Linked DNA regions of Callithrix jacchus. The protein of the gene in region 1 purifies or fractionates together with the protein of each later gene. This does not show direct contact. Links are inferred from orthologs where the notes say so. Each region holds a gene or a part of one and is shown on either strand. Other genes may lie near its edges. The genes, in order: MPDZ, PLEKHA2, AMOT and YAP1.

Region 1 (7,457 bases):
ATTCAATATAGTACTGGAAGTTCTAGCCAGAGCAATCAAGCAAGAAAAAGAAATAAAGGGTATTCAAATCGGAAAGGAGGAAGCCAAATTGTCTCTATTTGCAGACGTCATGATAGTATATCTAGAAGACCCCATCGTCTCAGCCCAAAAACTCCTGAAACTGATAAGCAACTTCAGCAAAGTCTCAGGATATAAAATCAATTTGCAAAAATCACAAGCATTCTTATGCACCCATAACAGACTTAAAGAGAGCCAAATCAAGAACAAACTGCCATTCACAATTGCTTCAAAGAGAATAAAATACCTAGAAATATAATCAACAAGGAACGTAAGGGACCTCTTCAAGGAAAACTGCAAACCACTGCTCAACGAAATAAGGGAGGACACAAACAGAGGGAGAAACATTCCATGTTCGTGATTAGAAAGAATCAATATCGTGAAAATGGCTATACTGCCCAAAGTAATTTACAGACTCAATGCTATCCCCATCAAGCTACCATTGACTTTCTTCACAGAACTGGAAAAAACCACCATGAACTTCATATGGAACCAAAAGAGAGCCCACATAGCAAAGTCAATTCCAAGCAAAAAGAACACAGCAGGAGGCATCACACTACTGGACTTCAAACTATACTACAAGGCTACAGTAATCAAAACAGCATGGTACTGGTACCAAAACAGAGATGTAGACCAATGGAACAGAACAGAGGCATTGGAGGCAACACAGCATATCTACAACCATACAATCTTTGATAAACCTGAGAAAAACAAGCAATGGGGCAAGGATTCCCTGTTTAATAAATGGTGTTGGGAAAACTGGCTAGCCATGTGCAGAAAGCAGAAACTGGACCCCTTCCTGACACCTTACACTAAAATTAACTCCAGATGGATTAAAGATTTAAACATAAGACCTGGCACCATAAAAACCCTAGAAGAAAATCTAGGTAAAACCATTGAGGACATAGGAGTAGGCAAGGACTTCATGAACAAAACACCAAAAGCATTGGCAACAAAAGCCAAAATAGACAAATGGGACCTAATCAAACTCCACAGCTTCTGCACGGCAAAAGAAACAGTCACTAGAGTGAATCGGCAACCAACAGAATGGGAAAAAATTTTTGCAGTTGACCCATCTGACAAAGGGCTGATATCCAGAATTTACAAGAACTCATACAGATTTACAAGAAAAAAACTAACAAGCCCATTCAAAAATGGGCAAAGGATATGAACAGACACTTTACGAAAGAAGACATATATGAGGCCAACAAACATATGAAAAAATGCTCATCATCACTGGTCATTAGAGAAATTCAAATCAAAACTACATTGAGATACCATCTCACGCCAGTTAGAAAGGCGATCATCAAAAAATCTGGAGACAACAGATGCTGGAGAGGACGTGGAGAAAAAGGAACACTTTTATACTGCTGGTGGGAGTGTATTAGTTCAACAATTGTGGAAGACAGTGTGGTGATTCCTCAAGGACCTAGAAATAGAAATTCCATTTGACCCAGCAATCCCATTACTGGGTATATATCCAAAGGACTATAAATCGTTCTACTATAAGGACACATGCACACAAATGTTCATTGCAGCACTGTTTACAATAGCAAAGACCTGGAACCAACCCAAATCCCCATCGATGATAGACTGGACAGGGAAATTGTGGCACATATATACCATGGAATATTATGCAGCAATCAAAAATGATGAGTCCGTGTCCTTTGTAGGGACATGGATGAATCTGGAGAACATCATTCTCAGCAAACTGACACAAGAAGAGAAAATGAAATACAGCATGTTCTCACTCACAGGTGGGTGATGAACAATGAGAACACATGGACACAGGGAGGGGAGCACTACACACTGGGGTCTATTTGGGGGAATAGGGGAGGGACAGCAGTGGGGAGCTAGGGAGGGATAGCATGGGGAGAAATGCCAAATGTGAGTGAAGGGGAGGAAGACAGCAAATCACACTGCCACATGTGTACCTATGCAACTATCTTGCATGTTCTGCACATGTACCCCAAAACCTAAAATGTAATAAATAATAATAGTAGCTACATCCACAATTATCAAATCCATAACCCTGGCTTTAGTCTGAGGTTCAAAAGTGTTAAAGCCCATTGTTTAAAACTATAACTTAATACCTTTTCTAAAGTATTCCTCCCCCAGGTCTAAGACAACACTTCAGGGATACTCAATAAAATGAAAGATTCTAACTCAGTTTCTTTGGCATTATCTAAGGCCATAGTTTTTTCTCTCTAACAAAAAATGTGAAAGATGTGGCCATATTATTTGATAAACTAGCATAAAAGATCTATTGTGTAGCCTACCTGATCAGCTACTCCTCCAGGCAGAATGGTTTTTACTATCACACCAGTTGCTTTTCCTCCTATGATGCCAAATCCCAAACCAGATCCATCATTCACCAATTCAATAGTTTCCACATGTTGCCAGTGAACCTACAAACAAAGCTCATATATGAATTTGTAGAAATTTGCAAAGAACTTTTTATATTACAGTAGAAATTTTTGTGATTATTATTTGGTTAATATTAAATAATTAAATTCAGACATAAAAATGAGCCCTAACAATGTCCCTTTCATTTGGTATACTTGCCTTTCAACAGAATGTAATGCTATGGATAGAACCATTCTTGAAATTATCAATGTATCATCATAATGATTTCATTTCACCAGTTAAAGACAGACACTGATTTGCAAGATCGTCTGTAGAACTTCTCAAAAAAAAAGAAAAAGATCAAGGAAAAAGGAAGGTCACATGTTAAGAATGTCTTCGCATAAACCTGCCTTGAGGCAGGATGCCAAATTAGATGACTTCTTAAAGTCACTGACAGCTAACTGTAACAATATAATTGTATAATTTTTAAAGCAAAATCAAGATTGTACCTGTCTACAGATAAAGTCAATTTTGTTAAAAGACTACATTTTTCATTTTTAAGGAATGCTATCAAAGAAAAAACTACACAAAGAAAAGTAATGGTTGTTTTAGAACCTAGAAGCTTTATCATACGTAAAGGCAAATATTCCAGGCTAAGGAAAGATGAAAGAATAGTTACACAAAAACTCAAGAAATGCAAAGAACCTACACAAATTAGAAACTTGGAGATAACCAAAAAGAACTCGAAAAATATGTTCTGTTCCTTTTGAAAATTGTAGGTACTCACCGGATTAGAGTGAGCTGAAATTGTGCTGGCTGCAGATGGGGAACGGGAAACTATGGGGCTGATAAGCTGAGGCAATGAGCCTCTGGCAATAACTAGTTGGACAGTATCTTTGGCTTTCTGCAGGATGCTGATAGCCTGCTGATGTGTAATCGTCTGATCAAGAGCCTGTCCATTGATAGCAAGAATTTGATCAGTTTCTTTCAATCTTCCATCTCTATCAAGAATGAAAAGGAGAATAAAAGACATCTGAGAGTTCTCAAGGAAATGACAGCTTCTTGGACATGCATGTTCAAGTCATTTTTAATCCTGTTTTTAATTCTCACACTTTTTTTTTCTTTTTTCTTTATTGCATTTTAGGTTTTGGGGTACATGTGAAGAACAAGATTGTTGCATAGGTACACACATGGCAGTGTGATTTGCTGCCTTCCTCCCCAATACCTGTATCTGGCATTTCTCCCCATCAATTCTCACATTTTTTAATCTTTTTCCTGCAGTTCTACTTTAAAATAATATGCTTTGGCTGCAGGTCAGCAATTCTTGTAAGGTTATTCCACTGCTACTCCTACTCAGCCCCTTCCATATAAAAGCATTCTTTATTTCAGCCACCCATTCAACCTACATTACATCTTGGATATTCCTATCTTCTAAAAATGAAAGTGGATATACATAGAGAGTTGGTCCTCTATATCCATGGTTTCCACATCCATAAATTCAACCAACTGGGGATCAAATATAATCAGAAAAAATAACACAATAATAAAAAATCATACAAAATTTTTAAATACAGTATGACTATTAATATTTACATAGGATTTACATTGTGTTAGGCATTATAAGTTATATAAAGACGATTTGAAATATACAGGAGGATATGCACAGGTTACGTACAAATACTACACCATTTTATATAAAGGACTTGAGCATCTGCAGCTATTAGTACCTGCAGGAGTCCTGGAACCAATTCCCCATGGATAATGAGGGACAACTGTAATAAATTGTTGCTTTTGGTATATAAATAATATGCAGCTCAATTTATTATGGATCATTTCTAGTATAGTAATTTTTAAAATCTAATCAAAAAGAGCTCATTTAATTAAAAATGAAAATAATGTTATCCTCAAATTTTTCTTTCCTTATCAAAACAAGTTATGACTATATTTAAAAGCTACTCTCACTTCAAAGGACTTGTTATTTTTATCACAATGTTAATGACTTGTAAAAACTGGTTAATAACATTATATTCAATTTTTTGTTTGTTTCTATTCATTATTATTTTTCTAAATTCTCACATAATGACCAAAACCTTCAGAATGGCTATCAAAAAGAAGATCCTGTGACCATCTCACCTATGTGCAACACTGCCCTCTTGAATCTCTTGTACAAATATTCCCAGTTCTCCTCTGTTTTCACTTCTTAGTCCCACAACACTAAACCCAAGGCCTCCAGATGGAGGTTTGAGGAGCTCAAAAACTTCTACATGGCGACCCTGTTTAGAAAACAAAGAAATAAATAAAATTAAAAGCCAGGCCATGCATGGTGGTTCACGCCCGTAATCCCAGCACTTTGGGAGGCCAAGGTGGGAAGATTACTTGAAGCCAGGAGTTAGAGACCAGACTGGCAACATAATGTGACCCCATCTCTATAAAAAATAAAATAAAACTCAGCTGAGTGTGGTGGTACACATCTATAGTCCTACGTACTCAGGAGGCTGAGGCAGGAGAATCCCAAGCCCAGGAGTTTGGGGCTGTAGTAAGCTATGATCACAACACTGAACTCTAGTGTGGATGACAGAGCAAGATACATCTCAAAAGAAACTTAAATTAAAAACTAATGATGCACAACAGTCATCTTATTAGAATCATTTCTTTGTTAAAAAAAAAAAAAGAAATGAAAAAAAATTTTTCCAAGGTCATTGTTAGCACTTTATCCTGAAGAACAATTTCTATAACACAACATATAATACTCAAATTTAAATGGTGATAAGGAAACTATAATTGAAAAACTCTGAACCATCTAAACTCCCACAAAATTGACTTCCTTTTTGTTCCAATTTTTTCAGATGTTATAAATATCACTATATTCTTCAAATTATCCACAACTTGATCACATTCTTAACTTATTTCAGGTATTACAATAACTAACAGAAAGAAATGTTCTTACCTGGGCCATATTTTTGATAAGCTGATCAAATTCATCACAAGCAGGTTTCCCATTAATGTGTAGAATACCAGATCCTGTAAGTGCTTCCAGATTCCCATTGTTTGGGGATAATAAAAACGATTCATTTTGCAGAGTAGGAATCACAGCTGGGCTGAGATGAGGAATGTGGGCATATTCAGTATTCGAAGTTGCTGAAGTCGAAATATTTACCTAAGAGTAATACAGAGATTATTAAGAATTTTGACATTCCATAAACTATTGCATAGAAAATATCCCAAGGGTATAAGTACATACATATGAAATTTCAAAATGTCCAAATCCTTTGATCCAGCAATTCTATTTTAGGAAATTTATTTCAAGGATAAACGTTAGGATAATAAAGATGTGTGTGCAGCACTAAATGTTCAATGCAGCACCATTTATTAGATGGGAAAATTAAAAAAACCAATTACCTCCAGGGTTGAATTTCAGGGTACTCATTAAAACACACACATAAATATATACATCCACACAAACATTTTTTTTTGTCCCCAGATCCCATGAAGTAACCTCTAAACTCTCAGAATTTCCTGAGTGATGGGGTGTCTTTCTTCTTCATGGTGGGCCACAGATATAAGCCCAAACTCTGAGTCAGATTTTAGTCATGTGGGCAGGACAATCAATCAATCACACCTATGAAATAACACCCCAATAAAAAATTCTTTAGGGGAGGCATAGCATTAGGAGAAATACCTAATATAGATGACAGGTTGATGGGTGCAACAAACCACTATGACACGTGTATACCTATGTAACAAACCTACACATTCTGCAAATGTATCCCAGAACTTAAAGTAAAATAAAATAATTCGAACACCAAGATGAGGTAACATTCCTGGGTTTGCAACACAGTCAAACACATTTCTACATGTGTTTGCACTTTAACCTAAGTGCTATTATGAGAGTCAAAAGTTTTAAAAAATTAAAACTTTATAAAGCAAAATGTTACAATAAAATAAGGTTAATTTATTATTGAAGAAACAAACGTTTTTGTAAATGTAGTATAGCCTAAGTGTACAGTATTTATTAAGTTATGTATAAACTCTATACATAAGAGTTTGTTACCTGTTCTTAAAAACAAAACAGGAAACTCATTAAGTTACCAAAGTTACCAAAAACTTAAACATTACATTGGCTATCTATAGCATACTAGATACACTGGCTATCTGGTGGTGCACCGTAATGTCCTAGGCCTTCACATTCACTCACCACTCATTCACTGATTCACCTACAATAACTTCCAGGCCTGCAGGGTCCATTCATGGTAAGTGTGTCCTATATAGGTGTTCCATTGTTTATCTTTTAACCATATATTTACTGCGCTTTTTCTGTAGTCACACAGATAATTACCATTGTGCTACAACTACATAAGGTACTCCATATAGCATCCTATACAGGTTGGTAGCCTAGAAACAATACCATATAGTCTAGTTGTGTGGGAGGCTATACCACTTAAGTTTGTGTAAGTATACCCTATGATGTTTGTACAAGGATGCAATCACCTAATGACACATGGCTGTACGCTCTACATATTGTCCCACATGAATTCTGGCAAAGTTATACTTTCCCAGGAAAATGAAAGCTTCCAGTTGGGAATCCGCCCATAATCTGCACTACGCATCTCTTTGTTTGGCTGACCCTTAATTGCATCCTTTCCCTACAATAGATCATAATCATGAGTATAACAGATTTCAGAGAATTCTCTAAGACCTTATAGTGAATTATGAAACCTCAAGGTGGCTAGGGCTAGGGGAACCTTGCAAACTTGCAGCTGATGTCAGAAGTGAGGGTGGTTTTGTGTATCCCTATACCTTTAACTTTGTAGCTGGACCCTAACTCACTGCAGTTGGTCTCAGATGTATGGGGCAGCACTAGCAGTCTGGAGGACTGTGCCCTCAAACTATGCTGTCTGGCTAGCTCTAAGTACAATGACACATGTAACAATAGAAAAGATCATCCCACTCTGGGAAATGATTCTATAATTATTTGTGTGTGCCTATTACAAAGAGTTTGAAGTTAAATCTAAATAGTAGATAAAGCAATGCAGTCAATCCTAATTTCATAATTA
Region 2 (7,893 bases), on another chromosome or scaffold:
ACCACTGCAATAATGATGCCAAAAACAACAAAATATTTCAGGCACTCATGACCTCTCTTCACAGCAGCCTCATCTATGTTCAAAGAAAATGTGGTTGTTGGAGCCTGCGGGAAACAAAAGCCTGCCCCGGGCTGAAGGCTCGTCAGACCATCACCAGAAAGGGCACGGGTGCAGGCACGCAGCCACACTGGCTGCACAGCCTGTAAAAGCTGAGATCTCCAACTTTCGGAATTGTGAAAGTTCCCCCACAATAAATTCAGTTTCACTGTAGGGCTCCCTAACAACAGCTGTGAGTCCTGAAACTCTAACCTTCATTTTATAATGGACCATATCAACCAGAGGGTACTAATACATGGGCAGCAAGAGAATGAAAAGAAAACATCATTTCCCTGACCTACTGGCCTTTTGCAAAGTGTCAGGGTTAGGGTAGGGGAGTGGTGAGGGGGAAGGGTAAATGGCCTAGCTGTGTCCCTCTAAAGACAAGTGCTTCTGATTTAGGGAAGGAGGAGTGGTAAGGACGATGTGCAGGTGACAATAACTAGTATTGAGTATTAAAAAAAATTTTTTTTAGAGACAGGGTCTTGCTCTGGTGCTCAGGCTGGAGTGCAGTGGTGCGATCATAGCTCACTATAACCTCAAACTCCTGAGTTCAAAAAATCCTCCTGAGTAGCTGAGACTACAGGCACACACTACTACAACTAGCTAATTTTTCACTTTTTTTTTTTTTTTGTAGAGATGGGGCCCTCACTAGATTCCCCAAGCTGGTCTTAAACTCTTAACCTCAAGTGAACCTCCCACCTCAGCCTCCCAAAGCCTGGGATTACAGGGATGAGCCACCGCATCCAGCCAATATGAGTGAGTGTGTGTGTGTGTGTGTGTGTGTGTAATGGAGTCTGGCTCTGTCACCCAGGCTGGAGTGCAGTGGCATGATCTAGGCTCACTGCAACCTCCGCCTCCTGGGTTCAAGCAATTCTTCTGCCTCAGCTTCCCTAGTAGCTTCAAGCACTACCACACCCAGCTATTTTTTTTAGTAGAGATGGGGTTTCACCATGTTGGCCAGACTGGTCTGTAACTCCTGACCTCAAGTGACCCACCCACCTCAGTGTCCCAAAGTGCTGGGATTACAGGCGTGAGCCACCACCCCCAGCCCAATATGAGTATTTTTGAGGGATCTTTTGCAAGAAGATGACCATTCAAAAGGGTGTGTTGATTTCAGTTACCCATCCCATCTGTGCAGTGGAGTGAAGGGAAAGATTATGAGTCTCAAGCCAGACAAACCTGGATGCAAACCCAGACAAGCTGCTTAACTCTTCAGGGTCTATTTCCTCATTTGCAAAATGGAGATAACTGCTTTACCTACTTCAAAGGCTGCTGTGAGGATTAAATGAAACAGCGTGTGAAAAGCCCTGGACAGCAGACATTGGGTAAATATTGTTGTTGTTAAACTTCATGTGTGGGTGCCTAACAAGGAGCACATGGTCATCATTACCACTGCAAAGCTGCTTAACCTAGGGCAGGCAGCTGCTGCACAGGCACCTCCACCCCTCCAACGCCAGTGAGCAAATGGCAATGAAAAAGCTGCGACTCTGACATCCCTCTCACAGGGAAAGGCATCAGTTCCCCTCACTCTTCCCTCTACTCCAAGAACCACCGCATTTTACATCTCTAAAAATTCTCGGCTGGGCGCAGTGGCTCATGCCTATAACCCCAGCACTTTGGGAGGCCAAGGTGAGTTGATCAACTGAGATTGGGAGTTCAAGACCAGCCTAACCAACACGGAGAAAACCCGTCTCTACTAAAAATACAAAATTAGCCAGGAGTGGTGGTGCATGCCTGTAATCCCAGCTGCTCAGAAGGCTGAGGCAGGAGAATCACTTGAACCCAGGAGGTGTAGATTACGGTGAGCTGAGAGCACACCATTGCACTCCAGTATGGGCATCAAGAGTGAAACTCTGTCTAAAAAAAAATTATCCAGCGGGTTTAAAACAAAAAGTCCGGGCAATCCGCTGGCTCCTTGGCCAGGCTACCTTGAGAGTTAACAGAAACCTAGACATACTCATCGGTTTCCAAGGAAAGGGCCCTAGAGCTGCCTCTTGATCCAGCCACAGGCAATCACACCATCAGAGGGCTGTTTCGCAAGGGCCCAGCCGAATTTAAGGCCCAACCTCGCACTTTAACTGCAGTGCTTCTCAAGAGTATAAGGACAAGAGGACCCAGCTTCCCATCCTCTGCATCTGAGCTGACCAGGCACTATGGGCAAAAGGCACACCACAGGGCCAAAGCCCCCCAAGACTTTTGCCCACATTGGGCAGTATCAGAGGCCCCTGCCCCAGCAGGGCTGGGACCTCCGCAATGAGAAGGCTTTAATGCTGAACAAATCACTTCAATCAACTGGAGTCAGGGCAGGAAAGGGGCTTTCAGAAGGAACAGTAGAGTCTCACTGCACCAACCCCTGGCCTCCTCCACCGACAGGATGAGACCGCATCCCTCCCACCTCCCGGCTGCCCTATCTCCCCCCGCCTGCCCAATTCCCCATCTGAACAACGGGCTTATATCAGGCAGGGCCAGGATTTTTCTCTTCCCATAGGCTGTCACACTATAATATTTGCTCTGCTTCCTTCCTTTCCAAAGCCTACCAGATTAGATTGCTGGAGTCCCATCCAGCTCACTAAGACAGATGGAAAATGGAAAGGAAGGCAACCCAAACTGTTCGTGGTGGAAAGAGAGGGAGGGGGCAGAGCAACCCAACATCCCAGCACCCAGATCCTCTTTTCCAAGCCCTAGGTCTATCACAGCCAGAATAAGTCAAGCCACAGCAGTTTCCGTGAATCAGAAGAGAGACTCTGATGCACTGTGGTCTGCAGCGAGCTCTCATCTGAGTCATCCAGCCTTTCAGCAGGGGCACCACCCACCTGTCCATCTGTCCCATGAAGGAGACCAGTGCCGGTGGATGCACACACTTCCTGCTGCTTGGGTCTTCCTAGTATCCCAGCACTTCAGCAAACACTTGGCAAGGTAGTGGGAGGGCTGCTCTGGAGCTCAGCTGAGAGGGTTCATCAGCCTTCCCCTTCCCACTTCTGCAGAAACAAAACCTGCAGGTCTTCAAGATTTATTTTAACCATTCTAAAATACCGAGCTGAATATGGTTCAGCTCACTATCATGACATGATGGCATCTGCAGGCCCTACTTCGTTACACAGAAGAGAGAAGAAAGCACCAATAACAAGGAAAAAGAAAGGTATGCAAAAACTCTTCACCAAAGGGCAGGCGGTTTCCCAACCAACACCAAGGTAATTACCCATCTGTGAAATGAGCAAGGCTCCCATTACCAGCCAGCTAAAACTCCACTAGGATTGCTACAGTCAATTTGCAGAAAGTGTGCTGTAATGTACAAACAGGGCCAAAGGATATTTAGGTGTAAAGGCAACATCCGGACTAATAACTCCCATGTACCAGCTTGGTGATCCAAATTGCTACAGGTTTCAGGATCAAACGCACTGCTCTTTTCTCTGCCATTTGGAGAAGTGCAGACAATGCATGTGTTTGCATTCATTCACTAATGCAACAAACATTTACTTAGCACCTGGTACATGTCATATGTTGGGCTGGCCATAATCCAGACTACAAGCTAGACCTCTGATAGTGCAAAAGTCACCTGCCTTCAAGTGGCACATAGTGAAGAAGGCTAACATCTGGGATGATGATGATGCTTTCTAAAAGCTTACTCTGGCTTCTCAAAACAAGTATGCTTACAAGTCCCGGAAGGTCCCAGAAGATAAGTTCCAGCCCTCCAGAGGTAAAGGAAAAATAAAAGATAAGTAAATAAGGCAGGAGATGTGTTTTGTTCATCACTGCCTTGCATGTATAATACATGTCAACTGAATGCAACCGATATAGAAAACAAAAACTTCCATTCTTTCAAGATCTTTTGCTTTACGGTTTGGAAATCTTCCACACCAAAAGGGAAAAAGGGACTTGGTCCGATACATTAAGAACACCATTTGTACAATCTGAGGACTTCAGCCCCAACTGCACCTACAGCTCAGCCTTCAGAGCCCCCAGAGCCACACAGCTGGCTTCCTGATAGGGTGCTCTCCCCTCCCTCCTCTCTGCCGTTTACTGTCCTCTGAAAACCCCACTTGGAACCCTAAAGAAAGAAAGAGGGCGGGCAGGAAGAAGGAATGAGAAGGGGAAGATACATCCTGAACCTGTGTTCACCAAGAAGGAAGGAAGCCAAACCTTAAGGCGAGGGCCTGGGGGCAGGGCTGGCCCCGGGAGAAGATGTGAGGGTGCTGCGGCCTCCGCTGGCCCCGCTCCCCTCTCTGGACGTACGGAGACCCTTTTCCTTTGAAAACGTCCTGGCTCCCCCCGCACCACCACCACGCTTCTTTTTTCTTTCTTTTTTTAAAAAAAATTTTGGTGAAATCGTCTTTAGGAATGGAGCAGAAAAGGGAAGCGTGTAAGGTGAGGAAGAAGTTGATGAGAGAAAGAACGACAGCTCCCCTCGAGGGCTCGCCCAACCTGGCACCGAACCTGCATTTTAGGGCAGTTCTCTCCAATTTCCTGGAGTTCCAGAAGCCCAAAGGCCAGGCTGCACCCAGAGGAAAGGACGGGTGTCCCTAGGGGAGCCTTTTAAGCCTGTCAAGTCAAAAGGTAGTGGGGGAAGAGAAAGAGGAGTCTCCACGGCCCCATCCGCACCCGAGGGACTTGCCTGGGGACGTTCTCTGCTCTCCTCCCCTCCCGCAGCCCGGGCAGTCGTTGCGGGGCCGGTGCCCTAGCTCCAGAACCCGCAGAGAAGTTTCGCCGCTGCAAACGTGAGAAAATGCAGCTCAGCAGAACTCCCGCCCCCACCCTCCCCGCGGCCCCACCCCCGCAGCCCGACCCCTGGCGGCGGCGACCTTGGCCACCGGGGGCACTTGGAGGATGGGCTGCCCTCGGGGCTTTCCCAGAGGGCTGGAGGAGGCCTCCTGGGTCTGCGGCCACCTCCCCTCGCCTGTCAGCCACCAGGACCGGCGTACGCAGCCTTGCGCGCGCGCGCCCCCAGCGCCCCTAGGCCGCCTGGCCCCGCCGGAGCGCCCCCTGCACCCCCAGCCCTGCCGGCCCCGCGCCCCTCTGCTCCGCTCCACTCCTGGGCCCGCGAGAGCGCCCAACTTACCCCGCCGTGCGGGGGCCGGGGCTCAGGCGAAGCGCGTTACATCGGGTGGGGTCGCCCCTCCGGCCGCCGGGTCCGCCGGGTCCGCCGGGTCCGCCGCGCTCAGTGGATTTCTGGGTCTCGCTGCCAAACTCTCCGCGCCTCTGGCTCCCCTAGCTCTTGTCTCCCCCTGCACCCCCTCCTTCGCTCCAGTCCCTCTGCTCTTTTTTCCGGGTTAATTACGTTTCGCATTAAAGCAAAACCCAGCCCCGGATGTGAGTACAATGCTCTGCGGAGCCTGCCTGGGAGGGAGAGGGGTGCCGGGGCGCCGCGGGCTGGGAGGGGGCGCGGCTGGGCGCCGGGGCCGCGCCGGGGAGGCGGGGCGGGGCTCCCAGAGGCTGCGCCGGAGGCAGCCCGGGGTCCACGCCGCGCAAGTGGGACGGGCGCCCAGAGACTGCCCCGCTGGGAGGCCGGGCCCCGACGCTCGTTCGGGCAGCAGGTGTCCGGGCAGGGGGGCGTCCTCGCAGAAGGAGGCGAGCTGGAGCGCGGGCTCCCTCGGGAACCCCATTTCCTCCTCCCAGAGCCCCACCCAGCGGCCTCAGCCCGGCCTCCTTCAGATCCTGAGCTAAGAGCCTTTGGGGGCCGAGGAGTTAGGGTTAGGGTTAGGGTTAGGGTTAGGGTTAGGGTTAGGGTTAGGGTTAGGGTTAGGGTCCCAAGAAGAGTGGCTACTTCAGGTTGTCCTAAATGTGCCCTGAGAGACAGTGGCCCGGAACACTCTAACCAGGGTTATAGGAACTTTAATTTCTTTCTTCTTATTATTATTTTTTAATTAAGACAGGCTCTGGCTCTGTCGCCTGGGCTGGACTGCGGCACAATCACTGTAGCCTCCACCTCCTGGGCTCCAGCGATCCTCCTGTTCCAGCCTCCACAGTAGCTGGGCCCACAGGTACCTACAGCGCGACCGCTGGGACTTTTTCGGTGTGGCGCGAGAGCTTGAGGGTGCTCTGGGGAAAATGGGAAACAGACAAGCATGTGTTACGTAGACGTCGCTAAGAGGAGCTAAGAGCTGCTGTGCGCCGATGCCGCCCCTGCGCTATCTCATTCGATCCACGCCGCAACCTATAGGTACCAATCCCGTTCACGGTGAGGAAACCGAGACTCAGGTGCGTGAAGTAATTTGCTCTGGGTCCCCAGTTAGTAAACGGCAGGTCTGTCAGGTTCTGACTCCGGCCTCCCACGTGGGGAGAGAGACATTTGAATATGCATCAAGTCAGGAGGACAACATCCGAAACATGACAATGTAATGGATTAGCGCGGGCCTGCAGGGCGGTGCGCCGGGGTCTGGCCATCCTGATGCAAACGTTATTAATCAGGTGTAAAGCCTAAGAAACTTTGAGAGAGGCGGGCGTAAGAAGACGCCGAGGTTCTTCAGGACAAGGACTGGATTTGCAGGAAGGCGGGAGAGGCTGGGGCACGTTCCCGGAGTCATAGTGGAAAGGCGGCCCCCTTAAGTCTCCAGGACCCGAGGCCACAACTCCTGGGGAGGGGTCTAGGGTCAATGAGCCAGAGGGAGAAGGACAGCCCGCCCCTCACATCTCGAAAGCACCAGTGATGAAACCACACAAGTTTTCTCTTCTATTTTGATTGCCAAAGCAAAAAAATGAGCCGCGCTTGTCTCCTCTAGGTGTGGGGAAAAAAAAAAAAAAAAAGACTGCTTTAGAGCATTTTGCTTTGAATGAGGAAGAAAGGGGGGAAGCAAGAAAAAAAAAATCCCTTGAAATAAATACATCAATGTTGTCTTTTTTTTTTTTCTTTCCCCTGTGTGTGGAGGGTTTTGGCCCTCATCTGTACGTTTCAGGCACCAGAACAAACTGAAGAGCATCTCTGGAAGCCAGGAACCTGGATTTGAAGCCCAGCTCTACCACGTATTGGCTTTGACCTCTGGGCAAGTTATTTAACTTCTCAATGTCTGTTTGTTAGGAAGGGTCAGTGAGTTAACATTTGTGAAGTGTTGAGATTCCTGTCCAACATGAAGTAGGTGCTATGTAAACTTTTTTTAATTTAAAAATTAGATGATCATTTTCAGTGTGAAAAGCAACACAGTTTCATCCAGCTCCAAGCAAATCTGAGTGGAACAGAGGGTTTCCAGTATGAGCAATGAGGTAGATTTCTCAGATTTCATGGTATGGTTCATATTAAACTCAAAACTCTACTCCCCATGGGGCTGCCTGAGCCACTCCATCACAGAGCCACAAATATTTCCTAAGCACTACTGTATTGGATGCTGGGAGGCAAAGAGAAGCAGAAGGCCTTGGGTGGCAAGAGAATACAAGTGTCTCTAGAAGGCTGCAGCAGCCTTATGACCTGGGAATGGCACAGAGAGTAAGTACTGTCAGCTTTTAGAAAGACAAGATGTAGTCAGGGGCAGCGGCTCATGCCTGTAATCTCAGCACTTTGGGGGATTGAGGCAGGAGAATCCCTTGAGCCCAGGAGTTCGAGACCAGCCTGGGAAGCTAGGGAAACTTCATATCTACAAAAAATTTAAAAGCAATTCAATCATCCAGGCATGCACCTGTGGTCTCACCTACTCGAGAGGTTGAGGTGAAAGGATCACTTGAGCCCAGTAATTCAAGCCATGATCATGCCACTGCACTCCAGTTTGAGTGACAGAGTGAGAACCTGTCTCAAGAAAAAAAAAAAAGAAGAAGGAAGTGTGTCTCTGTGTGGGGTACGGTGGGGGGAGCTCAAGAAGAGAGTGGGCT
Region 3 (8,111 bases), on another chromosome or scaffold:
GTGTCCTCGGTCAGATTCTGCCTTCGTTCCTCCACATGGGTTTACAAAGCTAAGTCTAAGGTGGGCTCTTATTGAAAAGCAACATTGCATATATCTGTGGCTTTAATTATCTAAAATTCATGTTAGTACAGGAACCAGGACTTGAAAGGAACTAGAAAAAATGAAAGCAGGTGATCTGCTAGGATGATGGAATTCTTGATAAAGTTTTAGGCAGAGTCTTAGCTTCTTAATTTGGAGTTGTTAAAATATAAAACATAATGCATCTATATTGATATATCCTTACAGGATCTTTTGTTTTAACATGATGACTAGATGACTGAATTTCTAACAACTGTTGCACTTCCTTCTAGTAGCAATCATTCACATTCATACTAGATATTGAGGCCTAGAAAGAAAACCTTAAACTTATGAGAACTGGCTCTCAAAATCACCCTGTCCGAGCCCACAATTTACAGTGGAAAAAAAAACTTAACAGAAGTAGTAAACCGAGTTACAGTTGGGCCTAGAGCCCAGATCCTTCTCACCAATAGGCTCACTAGGAAATCTTATTGCAGATTCTTAGGTTAAAAATGGCATCAGTCGCCACTATTTACTAGAAATAACTTTCTGGATCCCTGGGTAAGTCAAATACAGTGACTGGAAATAAAATATTTTACCTATATGGAGTGGATAGTCTCAGCCTTAGAATTGTTCAAAATCTATAAAGTCTGATTTTTTTTCAAAAAGTAATACTAGCTCTCTTCTGCAAGCAGTTGTAGGCCGGAGCTAACGTGGCCAGCATTATTACAAGCCAGCATGATTTAGACAATTAACTAACTCCATTCCATATAACAAAAAGATTTCAAAGGCCAAATAATGGCCTCACTTCATTTAAGCGATAATCATTACAAATTCTTATGTATTCCTTTATGCAATAAATATACTTCTGAGAAGGCCCAGTTAGAGTGAATTTTTATATATCAAGTCACAGTTTAAAGGCACTAACTAGGAAAGCTAGTACTTACAAAGAAACCTGTTGTGGATTCTTTTATAAAGCAAATGACCTCCTATTTTCTTTCTTTCTTTTTCTTTTTCTTTTTTGTTCAGATTGTGTGTGTTGTGTGTGGAAGGGGCGACTTCCCTCCTTTCTCTGGGTTAAAAGGGGTCAGAAGCCCACCATGGAGGAGAGTAATGCAGTATGGCCAGCCTGTTTAATACCCCCTTAGTTCCCGGGACAAAATTCTAACCTTTGACTTGGGGGTGGAACCCTAGATTTTGGACCAAAGTCCACAAAAGGCAGCAAGGAGGGAAAAGTAAGTAAGACTAAAGACAACACATCATAGTAAAACACCAACAAAAATTCCTGGGGACAGGAAATCAATGGATCACAATTCTAAACAAATTGGTTTAGTCCCCAGCTAATTAACTTGTCAAGCAGATCACTAAACCTACTGAATCCATGGGAGAAAGAGATGATGTAATAGGAGATTTGGAAACATTTACCCATTTACCATCCTAAAAGGCTCCACTACGACCACACACACCTCTCCCCACCCCTTTCAATGTGTTTAAGCTGGGCTTAATGGGTGCAAAGGACAATTTCTACCAGACAGTCCCCAAGAATAGACTGTTCTCATGCATTCCAAATGCTCAGTCTCCATGGAGGAGGCTACCTGGTCGCAAGCATTTCCCAAGCGGGAATATATCCTCTATTCCTCCTCACTGGTAACAACTCCCCCACTCCACCCCCACGCCCCAAACAAAACAAAACTTCTAACCATCTTGAGAACCTCAGGGGACTTTTCTGAGGTAAAGGACAAGAAACGTTAAGAGGGGAACAGGAAAGTGTGAGAAACTCCTCTTGTCTCCAAATGGAAAAAAGGCCTTAAAAAGCTGGATCAAAGGAAGAAAGGGGGATGGGGAAGAAGGGCTGCTTAATTACAAAGACACCCTTTTAAAGAAGGCGCAGGCCCTGGGAGAGGGCTCTTAGGAGAGGCACAGAAGCAGATGTACCCACTTAGAATTCTGGCACTCAATGGGACCTCAAGGTCATAGTATCCATCCCCCTGCCTTCTGATTAGGCTATTCTTAAAGCATTCTAGAGTCTGATGTGGTCTTTACAAAACCTCAGAGAAAGCAACTCTACAAATGTCCTAGTTGGGAATTAGTCTAATAAATCCAACTTCATAAACTGGAAATGAGATTTTAATTTCTAAATCCAAAATTGAATTGACTATTAATTATTAAAATTCCCTTTCTAAAATCTTTTAAATAGCTAAACAGATCCACAAATTTCATGTAAAAGTGACTCCACATACAACGAGGTTTACTTCACATCTACACCATGAAGGTAGAAAAAAACACTTTCAATTTTACAAAGCCACAAACTTTTCCAAAGAAAGAAGTAATTTAAAATGAAGTATGATGTCGTGCCAGAAAGTGTCTGTCGATGACACCGGATAAACCCATACAGAATAGCTGGAACCTGAGTTATCATCTGTAAATAGATGCAACTATTCTACAACCACCTGGCTGTTAAAGTGTCCCAGGCCAGTTATAAAATGTAGTTTGGCTAGGCCAGCTTTTCCCTCCCAGCTGATCTGAAACAGGATAGCCTTTAAAACTGTCGCCATGTAACGTTCCTTCTCTACCTTCCTACCTTCCTTTCCCTCATTAAAATCAACCAAAGCTATTTTTAAATGTATGTAAATAATGTGTTCCCAAATAAGCAATGAGTTCAGGACATCACAGAAATAAGTCTTTGAACACCACGACTTACAAGTTTGATGCACTTGTCCAATTGAAGATAGGTGGGAGATGGATGAAAATGTATCCCACATCCAAAATGGCATTTCAAACTATTCTTAGCTACTAAATGAGGGTGCTGAAAGGTCTGAGAAGGCTTCACAAAGGCTGGCCTGAGAAAGAACTTTTCACAAAGCCTAGCTCAAGGAGACTTAAATACCCTTAGCCCTTCATCATTGAAGATTATGGTGACTAATTATCTTCCTCTCTGAATGGGAGAAGAGGGTTATATTCATAAAAGTTTTAAACTGCCTCCCAACTTCCACGGAGGGAGGAGAACTGAACTAAACATCCTAGGTTGTTGAAAAATTCTTTCTAAAACATACGCTAGAGATTGAAAATGCTGTTTCTCACCAACTTCCTCTTTCCTTGCTCATTTAATCTTATTTAGTCACTTTATGAACATTATTATATTATTATTAGTGGAAATTTACCAGGAACTGCTCATAGTCTATTATAAAGGCGTATTTTTACTCCCACTTTTCTTTCTCTTGATTTTCACATATCCACGAAGTCCATCTTACTGTTGAAGCACCAACGTACAGTGGCCCAGGCTTGGACCCTCAAGACACCTGCCTGATCCCCCAAAACTATTTACTAACATCTTTGGATCTTCTAAAGTAGATAGGGGCAATTCCCTCCTCATGACCACTATCACCACCACCACAAGCACCACCACCACCACACATTTCAAAAAGTAGCCTTATGTTTTAGATTACGCAGACTTTAAAACTTCAAGAATTCACGGTCCTACCCCTCCTTCTCCCGCCTCAGGGAGTGTGAGTCCACACCCCAAGCCTAAGCACTTAGGAGAAACCTATCTAGTTATCTGAGATAAGCACTGACTTGCATGCTAGGCTAAAAGTAGATTTCAGCTTCCCTCGGGTCTTTAGCTCCTCAATGTGATTAATTTCCTAGAGACCCAGAAGAACCCCAGGAGGCAAGGAAGTAAAAATACCATCTAGTAGTGGTACCCACTAGCATCTCCTCACTTAAGCAGGACGGGAAAGCAGCGCACACTCTAACCGATTTAACTTGCTGCACATCCTGAAAAACTCATGGCCAGCTGCAAAGACAGCAGAATACACGGGCATTCTCACACGCGCCTAGATCGATTCACTCACGCCGAGGGCACGACCAAGTTCATGCCACCATGGATTCCTGCCCCAGTTCCCCGCAAAAAGTAACCACACGTCTCCTACCCCTGAAGGCAACGAAGACAAGGTGACGACTCTCTGCTCGCTCAAGTGGCTTCGGTCCCGGGCCAGCGGCCAGGGATGGGCAGGGGGGAAGCCCCAACTCCTGGCTGCTCCCCTCTTCGCTGCTCCGTCCGGGCTCTCCTTGGTGGCAGTGGACAGGCAGGATACCGGGCCAGAGGGTGGAGCAGCGGATGGTCGGAGGCGAGATTGACTGGAGGTGGTGGTAGTTGGAGGGGGAGGCGGAGAGAACTAAGAGAAGAGGAGGCGAAAGAGAGCGGAGACGGAGGAGTAATTCAGGGGGTCTACCAGTTTAGGCAGCCAGAAAGCTCCTCGGAAGGAAGGGGCGTGACTGCCAAGGCAGCTCCTGGGCAAAGGATGGGAGGTAGGGGAGGGGGACGAACGGGTGGCTTTTCTTCTTGCGGTGAGCGGCTAGGACCGCCCCGGAGCGGCAGGGCGGGTGGACTGGGGAGGAAGGCGGAGTAGAGGGCGGGGAAAGAAGGGCGGGAGCTTGCCTGGACCCTGGAAGTGAGGAGCGAGGAGAGCGCGGAAGAGAGGCGGGGCCGGGGGGCGGGGAAGTTTCAAACAATTAAACCGCGGGGTCCGAGAGCTCGGGCGAAAGTTGGGGACCCTCGCTCTCGCCTTTCCACTAGAGGGGCACGACTCGGTTGCCGTAGCCGTGAGAGTCTGCGCGGGGACTGGCTGGGGAGAAGGAAAGGGTTTTGCAAAAGACTACAATAATAACCTACGGCAACAGCGCGGCATACTCGCGTGGGAGAGCCAGTGCAGCTCTCCGCCCCACAGCGGGAGGAAGAAAAGCAAATAATAGAAATGCTGAAAAGCAGCTTCCACCAAAGCCTGCTTAAAATAATGAAGGAAGGAGCAGTGCTCCTTCGTTTTCCTTCCCCTCTCGCTTCCTATTACTAGCAGGCCCCCACCCAGGTCACAGCTCTGCGAGACACCCTCCTTTCTTCCTCCGCTCCCCCACCCCGGGAGTTTCCCCCGCCTCCCGATGGCGGGCTGCAGAAGCTGCGGGGCGAGGGAGGAGGGGGTCGTGGGCGGGGCTCTGCAGAGGCTCCGCCCCTGGGCGGGCTGTTAGATGCGGCCTGGGCGGAGCGGGCCCCTGAAGCGTAAGTCCCGCCCACCATTCTTTTGCCGCTACTGGTTGGCCGGGCCTGGCCTAGTATACGTTTGCGATTGGGCCCGGGAGTCGCCAGTCTGATCCTTTTGTCCCACCAGTCCTCAAAATTAATAAAACTAAACAAGAGGCTATTGTGTAGCTCTATGTTCTACCCCAGCTACCGCTGGGAAGAGAAAGATGAGACGCTTTCTCAGTCTCATAAAAGAGTGCAGCAGTGTGTCGGCCGACTCTGGTACGCCTTTATGTTTATAGCACTGTCCAGCCCTCCACGAATAGGTAACTTTTCTTTCCCCTTAATTCATTAAATCCGGAGGGGGAAAAGTACATGAAGTGCCAGTGTGGCGTTCACATTTCCTGGCTGTGGAAGAAAAAAACTGATATTGGTTAAAAACAGAGGGTTGAGAACAGTATACTGGGACACGGAAAATCTACCATTTTACATCTGGGAAAACGAAGGCACAAAGAAACAGTGTAGGGGTAGCAAAATAACATAGAATTGAGAACCAAAAGAAGAATTCATTTGGGGCTCTGGCACTTACTAGCTAATTGTATGACTAATGTTAGGTGGCTTAACTTCTCAGCCTTAATTTTTCTACCTGTAAATAAATGCTGTAAGACATGCCATTAAATTAATGGCACTGGAGTGAAAATGAAATGTGTGTGAAAACTAAAGCACTCCAACATGTATGTGTTCCTACTTGTGTATGACACATAGTGGAGAGTCTTACATGTGTTAGAGAATTAATATTCTGTTCATCTGTTTTAAGCATTTACATCCAAGGTCGTGTAGGTTTTGTGGCTTTATTTTTAAAAATCAGCTCTTTTCCTACAATTTTGGAGATGGATATGAAGTTGACTCCCTGCAGTTAGAATAATAAATTACCCCTTTTCTAAGCAGGGTGGGTGAGATTTCTTTTTTAAAGTTCTACGGTTTCATGACAACTTAAAGCTATTGTGGTTCTGGTACTGAAAGAGGAAATCATGCTGTGTATCTGCAAAGTGAACTTGAGAAAACAAATATGAAGGAACATTTACCATGGAAACCACCATTCTCTACAGATCCATATTTCCTAGAAAATATTTCAAGTAGGAAGCAAGCCTAACTGTAAAGGCCTTGACAGCACAAGGCTGATATAATGAGCTCATGCCCATGAGAGTGACATCCAATTCAAGCCTGCCTAATGGGAGCCATCTGAGAGGCCATGGATCAAGGCATGCAAGAGGAAGTGTGCTTAAAGGAAACACTATCACACAGTAAACTGGGGCTCAGACTGTAACTCTGAGTGCAGGAAAAGTAGGGACGATTGCACATCATGGAGTGTCCAGCATGCTCTGTGGAAATATTCAGAAGCAGGAGTGTGCACAAAATGATTCTGGTTATGATTCAGTTTATGTATGAAGTGAGGTCATTTGAGTGATTTTTCATGGAGAAAGTGAGTTTTTGAACGTTAAAGATATGGAGATACCTGGTTTGTGAAGCAAGGGAAGATTATTTCAGCCTTGTTGTTGGAGTGGATAGGAGAACTAGATGGGAGGGCAGTACTTGCTGCAGGACTACTACTAATCACAGTGGCAACAGCATACTTGTTAAAATCAATGCTGTCCAAGTGAAAAAAGTTAAACATGAAATGGAAAAATTCAAATAAAATAGTACTGGACTGGGCACGGTGGCTCAGCCTGTAATCCCAGCACTTTGGTAGGGTGAGGCGGGTGGATCACTTGAGGTCAGGGGTTCAAAACTAGCCTGATCAATATGGTGAAACCCCGTCTCTACTAAAAATACAAAAATTAGCCACATGTGGTAGCACGTGCCTGTAGTCCCAGCTACTCGAAAGGCTGAGACAGAGAATTACTTGAACCCAGGAGGCAGAGGTTGCAGTGAGCCGAGATCACACCACTGTACTCCAGCCTGGGTGACGGAGCAAGACTCCATCTCAAAAAGAATAATGGAAGACTACAGTGAAAAGTTCCTCCCCACCACTCTGCTCCCATAGTCCCATGCTCTTTATGACTGTATGTCATCTTTCAAATAGATTATTTGCATATTCAAGCATGAGTGCCTATTCCCTTTTTGTTCCTTACAAGTGAAATCATTAATCATGGCACACCTTGCATTTCTTTACTCAACAATGTGTCTGAAATATCCTTTCATCTCAGGATAACTGTTTACCTTATTTATTTTATTATAATTCAGTAATCTATTACATTGCTTTGTCAAAATTCTTTTATTCATCCACTTATTAAATGGGGATTTGGGAGCCAGACACAGTGGTGGCACACATGTGTAGTCCCAACTACAAGGGAGGTTGAGGGAGGAGAATCCCTTGAGGCCAGAATTTCAAGGTCAGCCTGGGCAACATAGCAAGACTCTAAATGTGTGTGGCACAGTTTGCTGTATAAACTGACTCTCTGGAGCTAGTTTTCACTCTCCGCGCTTAACTAATCTCTAAAAAACTGGAGGCACATTTGGGCTATTTCCTGTCTTTTGCCACTACAGAAGATGCCATTAAAAAAGAAATCCTGGTAACAAAGTCCTGGTGGCTACATTTGTACTATGCCTGCCCCTCGTCTTGAAGTTGCCTTCAAAACACTTTTCTAACATGCTTTCCCCACAGCAACTAGTGCTGTGGAGCAATGGAATTGGAGCAGTGAAAACCTCTAAAACACTTAATTCCTTTAACACCTCCTCCTCAAACACTGCTTGGGCATTACTCTTCTCCAAATGTTGATGAAATAGAGTTAGCAGAACTCTGATGCTGTGTGCGAGTGACTTCTTAACCTGTGGCAAACAGTTTTTTGGTACTTCTGTTTAACCCAGGTCTTCCAAGCCTTCTATCCTGCTATGCAAGACTTCTTTGTTTTCACCCTGAAAACCTTTCAGTTTGTTTAAACCGAGTTTGGATTTAAAGCTATGCATTGCCTGCTCTACTTAAAAGAGAGGGGGAGGGGGAGCCCAACATCAACAAACATTGATTGAGCCGCTATTATAG
Region 4 (8,164 bases), on another chromosome or scaffold:
AGACCATCCTGGTTAACATGGTGAAACCCCGTCTCTACTAAAAATACAAAAAATTAGCTGGGCATGGTGGCACGCGCCTGTAATCCCAACTACTCAGGAGGCTGAGGCAGGAGAATTGCCTGAACCCAGGAGGCAGAGGCTGCGGTGAGCCGAGATCGCTCCATTGCACTCCAGCCTGGGTAACAAGAGCGAAACTCCATCTCAAAAAAAAAAAAAAAATCTAAAAATCTGTATTTCCCATTACATTTTTTGGGGAAAAATTGGTAAGTTACATCAAGCTTCAGTTGAAGTGCTTATCATTTCACAATTTAAAATACTGTAAAATTAGACTCCCCAAAAAGCCCTACTTATTTTGTAGTTTTCTACCAATAAAATATTTATTTAAAAAGATACAAGTAGCACCATACATATTCCATAAGGTGCTGCTAGTCCTGTAATTTCCAGAATTTGAAAATCTTCATGGTATTCTTTCTGTTTAGTGCTAGGCTAATTAACAGGAGTTTGGCACAAGCTCAAAATGAGAAATACCAAACTTCCACAAATGAAAAGATTATAGAGAGGTTCAGAACCAAGACTCAATAAAGCTTTCAAAATATTATCCATGCTAACAAACGTATTTAGATCATACCAAACTAAAAAACATATATGGAAGATATAACAGAGCTTAACATAAATATTAAGTAAAACATAAAAACAAATAATATTCTATATCTTGACACTGCTTTACTATCTTTTCCAATACATATTTTTCTTAGATAATTGTCTCCCACCATTATTTTCACTTACTTTAAGAAGTATCTTTGACCAGAAGATGTCTTTGCCATCTCCCAACCTGCTGGCAGAGGTACATCATCAGGTATCTCAAAAGAAGACTGTCGAAGATGCTGCGCTGTGGGTGTAGCTGCTGGGCCAGACACTACTCCAGTGGGGGTCAGTGTCCCAGGAGAAACAGCTCCCAACTGCAGAGAAGCTGGAGAGGAATGAGCTCGAACATGCTGTGGAGTCAGGGCTCCTGCAGTGCCTGCATCAGTACTGGCCTATTAGGAATATTAACATGAAAAATTAAGAAAAAAAAAAAAACTTTTTTGAGAGTCCCTTTAAATTTCCCAGTCAGTGCTTAATTGCAGCCAAATGTCTAAGAACCAAAGGAAAATTTCAACATTTAATATTTGACACCAGAGAGCACAGGTTTTCAAATGGATACTTTTAATATATAATTTTAATATAAACTTTATAAATATTTGTAGTTTTATTGATGAGCAGTCCATCTAATGAATTTCCACCTACTATACACTAGACATGTAAAGGCAACTAGTACTGAAACAAATAAAACATTCCAAAAATAATAGTAAATTTTAAAACCTAATTTTTAAAAGGTCAATGCAATATGGGTGCTTTTCCAAGTCCTAAAATATTCTAAGGATAAACACAACACAAATAATATGCATGTTTTACTAGGTTTTAGGTAATTCATTTTTTTTCCCTAGGTCAAGGCCAAGTAAGAACAAACCCTTGTCATTTTTTCCCATCATAAAATGCCAACAATAAAGAAATCGTAACAAATTACACAATTTGTAATGAAATCGACAAACTTGAACTGCCCAAATGTTCTTAAAAGCCATCTACAATGAACATGATGGAAAAAAAACTGTATCTTTGTATGTAGAAGATAAAGATGTTATGAGTCCAATTATAACTTAATAACTGACACACATCCACAACTCTTTATGAGCAGAAACAATTCCGCACTCCAAGTTGGCTAGTGTGACACTGAACAAATACCTTAACTTCCATATGCCTGTTTTCTCGTTTGTAAAACAGTTTTCATGACAAAAATGGATGTACATAAAACTTAGTCACCAGTTTGTGAATAATAGTATTTGCAACCTAGATTTGTTCTACTCCTAATCTTGCATATCTAAATTTTAAAAATTAGAATTAGAGTTTGATTACCAAAAAGTTAAGAATTTCCTAGATTCACAAAGGTAAGGAAACTGGAAGGACTTAGTAGAGTCATATCCATGCCTTTAAGTGATGGACCTTTCTTTGTTTCCCATCAGAAAAAGTGTGATTTAGGAAATCGTTAGCAGAAATAAAAGTCGAATTTACAGATGCACAACACTTAAAAACTTATTAAAAATAAAACTATAATACTCTGAATTTTAGAACTGCTGGATAGAAATTCACGTAAAAATTACTAGAAGAAAAAGTACACTTTCCAGTTATGATTCTTTGTGGCTGATAGATGCCACAAAATGGGGGATTCAATCTATGTCTATTATACTTTGAAAATACACTGTCTGTAAGGTGCATGCCAACATGTATTTACCCATAATGAGTCCATAAACCCACTTTCAGGGGTATGAGAAAAAAGCACACCTAAGTCTACTTCTGACAAATTGAAGTGTTTAGGCAAGAAGCTAAATTGTTTTTCCTTCCTCCTCCTTAACCCGGGTTTTTGTCATCAGGTTAAGTGAGCTTTTCTGAGTTCCAAAACCCGACAGGAGAATATACAACAGGCCTGCAAATAGGAGAGGGAATGGGAGTGGGGGCGGTAACTCTTTCCACTCAAGTTACAGTCCGAGTCGGCTAACTACACTGCAGTATTTGGAAAATCTATTAACTTTTGGGCAAAGTTCCTATGCTCAAGTTTAGCCTCAAGCAAGTTCTTTCTAAAAAAAAAGGAAAGAAAAAGAACCCTAAACAAATCCACGGGGACCTATCGGAATGTTAACACTTTCATTATAAATAGTTTCACTTCTATGCTGAATCAAGTTGGCAAAATGATCGAACGTTGTGTATGTGGAAAAGCAGCCATGTTCATATCCGCAATAAGAATTATAAAGCAATGGCGATTCCAGAATTAGTCATCGCTTCCCAAACATTAACTTTTAATCACAGTTGAACTAGGCAGGACTTGGCCTATGGGTCAACCTGCAGTGTATTATCAAAGGCTTGTGTTAAAACGTCGGTACAGTAAAGTGCAACTCAGTTCCTGCGCAACGTACAGATGTGGCTAATTTAAAAGCGTTTCAGCCGACTGTAAATAATAGTCTACAATTGGGAAACCAACACGCAACCTACTAAGTTTGATAAGAGCGAGCCGGCCCAAGTTCCAAGACACAAGGGAAGCACAGGGGGGTGTGAAAGAACTCCATAAACAACTTCCAGGAAAGTCTGGGCAGGGAAAGCCCGAAACCTGTGTTCTAAAAGCGCTTGAGCCTCGAAGAAAATAAAAGCTTACGGGAGGGGGAGGGGAAACGGGGGGGGGAAGAGCGAGCAAAAAAACTAAATGGACCGGTTCAACCCCCACCCCTAATCAACATTGGAAAACAAGAGAACAATTATTTGACTCCCCAGGAGACTGAAGTGGACCGAGAGGCCCCAAAGGAAAGGGGCCCAGGGCTCAACTTCAGAAACTCGGCCGCCGCTGGCAACTCACCCACACACAAATGCCAGAGGCCCCCCTCCCCCTTTCCCGGCCCGGCCCCGGCGGGAGCGAAGTTGCGGAGCGCGCGGAGGCGCGCGCATTGTGCAAGCCCACCGCGGCCCAGGCCCGGCTCTCCCCACCCCCTTCCTTCCTCCCCACACCCCCGCCACTCCCGCCAACCTCCCGGGAACCCCGGGAAGAAAGAAAGGAAGGAAGAGGGAAAGCACGCCCGCCGGGGCTGCAACCGCAGAGAGAAACTCAGAGGGGAAAAACAAATCTCAGCCCCGGACTCTGGGAAGAGTAGGGAGCCGGTCACCGCAGCCAAGGGGACGCCTCCAGTTCCTCCACTTCGCCGCGAGACCCCCACCCAAGACCTCCCGCAACCCCCCCTCCCCTGGCTAGAGCTGGCGGCCGCGACTCCCGAGCGCCCCCCAGCCTGGGGCCCGCCCGACGGGGAAGCTGGGAGAGGGGCGGCGAGGTTACCTGTCGGGAGTGGGATTTAGGCTCAGGAGGCTTGAAGAAGGAGTCGGGCAGCTTCCGGAGCCTCATGGGCACTGTCTGGGGCACGTTGGCCGTCTTGGGGTTCATGACGGCGTTGAAGAGCGCCTCCAAGTCGGTCTCTGAGTCCCCGCGGACGTGCACGATCTGATGCCCGGCGGGGGGTGCCTGTGACGCCGCCTGGGTCGCCGCGGGTGCCGGCTGCCCGGGTGCGGACGACGGGCCCTGCCCTTGAGGCTGCGCAGGCGGCTGCCCTTGGCCCTGGGGGGCCGCTTGAGGCGGCGGCTGCTGCCCAGGATCCATGGCTTCTGCCTCCCCCGATGCGCACCCCCGGACCAGGCGAGCGAAGGCTCCGCCCGGACGCCCCGGCTCCACGGGCCGAGGTGGAGAAACGGCGAGGGCTGCGGGCTGGGCGGTGGGAGCGGCGCTCTCCTAGCTCTCAGGGCCGGGGGACTGTGCTGCGGCCCCGCATCCCCTGCGCCCCGGCTCCACTGGTCTGGTGGCTGCGCCTCGGGAGGGGCTGCGAGGGACTCGGACCTGCGGCGCCTGAGAACTTTTTCCCTCCAACTCCCTTGACTGAGGCCGGACGGCTGGTTGCCTTTCCCCTCCTCCCCGTTTCTCTTTTATTTCCTTTTCTTGTTCCTTCCTTCCTCCCTTTCTTTTCCCTGGCGGCGGCTGCGCCCGACTGAGACAGAAACTCGCCTCAGACGCCAAAACTAAAGTTGGGAGAAGCGCCCGCCCGCGCCGCCGCGGCCCCGCCTCCCGGCTCTTCCTTCCTCTGCGCGCCCGCCCGCACCGCGGCCCAGTCTGCCGCGCAGGGAAACTTTTCGCTGCAAGTTGCTACATTCCTGCACACTCCCGGCCCGCGGCGCCGCTCCCGGCCGCACGTGACTCGCCCACCCGGGCCCAGTCCGCCCTCCGCTCGCGCTCTGCCGGGCAGGGGCCCGGAGCGTGCCCTGTGTTCCGCCTCGCGAACCACAAACGCTGAGTCCAATCTGGGTCCAAACTGTAGTCTCTGCGGAGAAGGCGGCCGCCCTTGGCCGCAGGAAGTCCTTCCGCCCCGCTCGGCCCCTTCTTCGCCCGGGCTCGGGAAAGGCGCTTCCAGCTCGCCGGGACCTGCGAAAGGGCCAAGGTCGAAAGAAGTGGAGAGAGGATGTGCGAACCCACCTCCACGCGTTACCCCGGTTCGACCGAGCGGAGCGCCAGTGCGGGCTTCAAGCCGGGAGCATAGCTTGGAGTTAAAATAGATACTGTGAGGCGGCGCTAATGTTAATAAAGGTCCTTTTTTTTTTTCAGCATTAACTTTATTTTGTAATTCTGTTTCATTTATGTGTTGGTATGCAAAAACTCACTTGGAAAGGATAAATGGTTACTGAAATTGAAGCTTTGAGACTGGGTCTGTGACTCCCTGTAACTTATTAAAAGAAACAAAAACACTGCGTATTTTTCTCAGTATTTTTCTAAATACTGAAATCACATCAACTTTTTTAGTACTCGAATTTGCAGCATAGTCACTGGAAGCCTCAACCCAAAAAATCAGTGCTTCTTCAGGTACAAGCATTCATTCCTCTTTACCTGTCTTTCATCCTCTGGGAGCTGGGTCCTACCCCTGCTATCCCTGTGCCTGGCCCAACAGTGGACTCTGTGAATGTGGACTGAATAAGAAATGAATGGGCAAGGAGGTCACCGCAGGCACGCGATGTGCAAGGAGCTCATTGGAAACCACTCAAAAACAATGGAAATGTGTGTTTTAAGTCACACTCTCGGGTTTTTTTTTAAAGCATCTTTATTGGCTGGTCCAAGTGCAGTGGTGTTTACAACTAATTGATCGCAACCAGTTACAGATTTCTTTGTTCCTTCTCCACTCCCACTGCTTCACTTGACTAGCCTCAAGAAAAAGAAAAAAAAAGTCTTTATTGAGATGTAATTCATATACCATAAAATGTTAAGTAATATTTGTACATATTTGTATATTTAAGCATTGAATTTTTTTTAGTATATTCATAGGATTGTGCAACATCAGTCTAAATTTAAATGCTCTAGCCCATTCTAAGGAAATGTGACTTTCTTGTTTTAATGATTTGTCTACAATGCTAGTGAAAGAGGTATAAAGAGGATTAAGCAAGGAAAAAGTCCGTGAGCAAAAAGATAATCTCTTCCTCCAGCCAGAACATGCCCGGTAGAATTCTGAAGGATCCGTATCACCTGGTGTGGTTGGGCTGGGCCAGGGTAGCAGGTTTCAGACACTCAAAATTCTAACAGAAGATTCCAGTCAACTACTCTGAACCCCCAGTTTCCTGTCTGAAAAAAGGGATCAGTGTAAATGACACCGATGACTGCTTCCCGGATTTGTTTCTACTTCCAAATGTCAAGTGCATTTAATGACAAATCTCTAGGTTCTGGAGTTACAGAGTTTTGAGTTCAGGTCCCAGTTCTGCCATTTACTAGCTGTGAGATTTTGGACAACTTACTTAATTCCTGTTCTTTAATATTAGCATTGGGGTAATAACACCTACATAGTTGTTGAGGCATTAAATGAGTCAGTGGATATAAAGTATTTAGCCCAGTTTGGGACATGCAGTGTCCTGCACCAGTGAGTTCTGCATCAGTGTCAGTGGTCATTGTCCTGTGTTCACAGATTACTTCACGGATAGTGACATAGCCTTTCCTTGCAGCAGCTCTCTCTTTCTAAGCACAGCCTTAGGGACCCTTTTGGCAGTCCCTTCCTCTCTTATCCAATAATAAGTCTACACAAACAAAACCTTTAGGCAGAAACTATGCATTAAAAACTTTGCCTGAAAGAAAACTTTAGGAACCAAAGTGGGCCGGATATGGTGGTTCATGCCTGTAGTCCCAGCACTTTGGGAGGCCAAGGCAAGCAGATCACCTGAGGTCAGGAGTTTGAGACCAGTCTGGCCAAAATGGTAAACCTTGTCTCTATTAAAAAAACAAAAATTAGCCAGGTGTGCTGGCATGTGCCTAGAGTCCCAGCTACTCAGGCAGCTGAGGCATGAGAATCACTTGAACCCAGGAGGTGGAGATTGCAGTGAGCTGAGATCACACCACTGCACTTCAGCCTGGGTAACACAGCAAGACCCTGTCTCAAAAAAAGAATCAAAGTGATTGAAAACCTGGGATTGAAATGGATGGCCGGGAGCGGTGGCTCAAGCCTGTAATCCCAGCACTTTGGGAGGCCGAGGCGGGTGGATCACCAGGTCAAGAGATCAAGACCATCCTGGTCAACATAGTGAAACCCCGTCTCTACTAAAAATACAAAAAATTAGCTGGGCATGGTGGCGTGTGTCTGTAATCCCAGCTACTCAGGAGGCTGAGGCAGGAGAATTGCCTGAACCCAGGAGGCGGAGGTTACGATGAACTGAGATCGCGCCATTGCACTCCAGCCTGGGTAACAAGAGCGAAACTCCGTCTCAAAAATAAAAAGAAAAGAAATGGATGTTGTCCCTTTACTAGAGCATTTACTACTACAAACACTAACTAAAGGGCTTAAGATATAGCAGAGGCTGCTTTGTTTAATATTGTTTTACCTGCCATTAAAATGAGGACAAAATTACTTTGATAAGTGGAGCGAAAGGCTCTTTGGAATGACTATGTTCTGTAAGCACTTCTGTATCATCAACCACAATTTTGTAACTTACTATTCTTCGTTTATACAATTTCAGTCACAGGGTAGTAGGGGATAAAGATAACATATTCAATCCTTTGTCTGCTCCTTCCTCTTCTGGCCATTTTGCAGAGCAATTATCAGTTGACAGCATCTTAAAATAGACTCCCTATTTTAAGATGCTGTCATACAAAGGATCTTCTTCATACAAAGATCCACCCTTATCCTGGACCATTTTCAATGTCCATGTAGATCACTATCTCAAAACACTTGTCTTCCAATTACTTAACCTCTCAGCTACAATGGACCCTCATCTCTACTTCACTGTGGGCACCTGCCTCTACATCTGTACTCTTGTCATCATCCAGAAATACTCCAGAAGTGAAATCAGACTATGGTATACCATATTCTTAATAATCATCTGGTTCTCTCATTTCATTACGTACACCTCATTTATCCTTAACCTCTCCGTTTTCTGCAACCTATTGCTCCCTTCTCTTTTCATTTCTGTTATGGTTTGGATGTTTGTGTCTCTCCAAAATGCGTGTCGAAATGTCTCCAATGCATCAGTATTAAAGAGGTGTGGCTTTTAGGAGGTGTTTAGGTCATGGGGT

The links.
Region 2: the proteins of MPDZ (region 1) and PLEKHA2 purify together in Homo sapiens (affinity purification with western blotting; 3 studies listed by BioGRID and IntAct, with this or other methods). This does not show direct contact. The link is inferred for Callithrix jacchus from reciprocal best matches to the Homo sapiens genes MPDZ and PLEKHA2.
Region 3: the proteins of MPDZ (region 1) and AMOT purify together in Homo sapiens (affinity purification with mass spectrometry; 4 studies listed by BioGRID and IntAct, with this or other methods). This does not show direct contact. The link is inferred for Callithrix jacchus from reciprocal best matches to the Homo sapiens genes MPDZ and AMOT.
Region 4: the proteins of MPDZ (region 1) and YAP1 purify together in Homo sapiens (affinity purification with mass spectrometry; 6 studies listed by BioGRID and IntAct, with this or other methods). This does not show direct contact. The link is inferred for Callithrix jacchus from reciprocal best matches to the Homo sapiens genes MPDZ and YAP1.

Annotation. Positions count from the first base shown.
Region 1 is NC_133502.1:119,759,794-119,767,250, forward strand, and holds part of MPDZ (multiple PDZ domain protein), read right to left. Parts: intron 5,561-7,457; coding exon 5,351-5,560; intron 4,677-5,350; coding exon 4,537-4,676; intron 3,405-4,536; coding exon 3,191-3,404; intron 2,466-3,190; coding exon 2,337-2,465; intron 1-2,336. UniProt on the Homo sapiens protein: Member of the NMDAR signaling complex that may play a role in control of AMPAR potentiation and synaptic plasticity in excitatory synapses. Promotes clustering of HT2RC at the cell surface.
Region 2 is NC_133514.1:39,733,923-39,741,815, reverse strand, and holds the start of PLEKHA2 (pleckstrin homology domain-containing family A member 2), read right to left. Parts: upstream 5,352-7,893; 5' UTR 5,156-5,351; intron 4,807-5,155; 5' UTR 4,712-4,806; intron 4,494-4,711; exon of another isoform or gene 2,913-4,493; intron 1-2,912. UniProt on the Homo sapiens protein: Binds specifically to phosphatidylinositol 3,4-diphosphate (PtdIns3,4P2), but not to other phosphoinositides. May recruit other proteins to the plasma membrane.
Region 3 is NC_133524.1:109,162,374-109,170,484, forward strand, and holds the start of AMOT (angiomotin), read right to left. Parts: upstream 4,368-8,111; 5' UTR 3,987-4,367; intron 2,888-3,986; exon of another isoform or gene 2,759-2,887; intron 1-2,758.
Region 4 is NC_133511.1:37,538,248-37,546,411, forward strand, and holds the start of YAP1 (transcriptional coactivator YAP1), read right to left. Parts: upstream 4,616-8,164; 5' UTR 4,232-4,615; coding exon 3,914-4,231; intron 1,038-3,913; coding exon 787-1,037; intron 1-786. UniProt on the Homo sapiens protein: Transcriptional regulator with dual roles as a coactivator and corepressor. Critical downstream regulatory target in the Hippo signaling pathway, crucial for organ size control and tumor suppression by restricting proliferation and promoting apoptosis.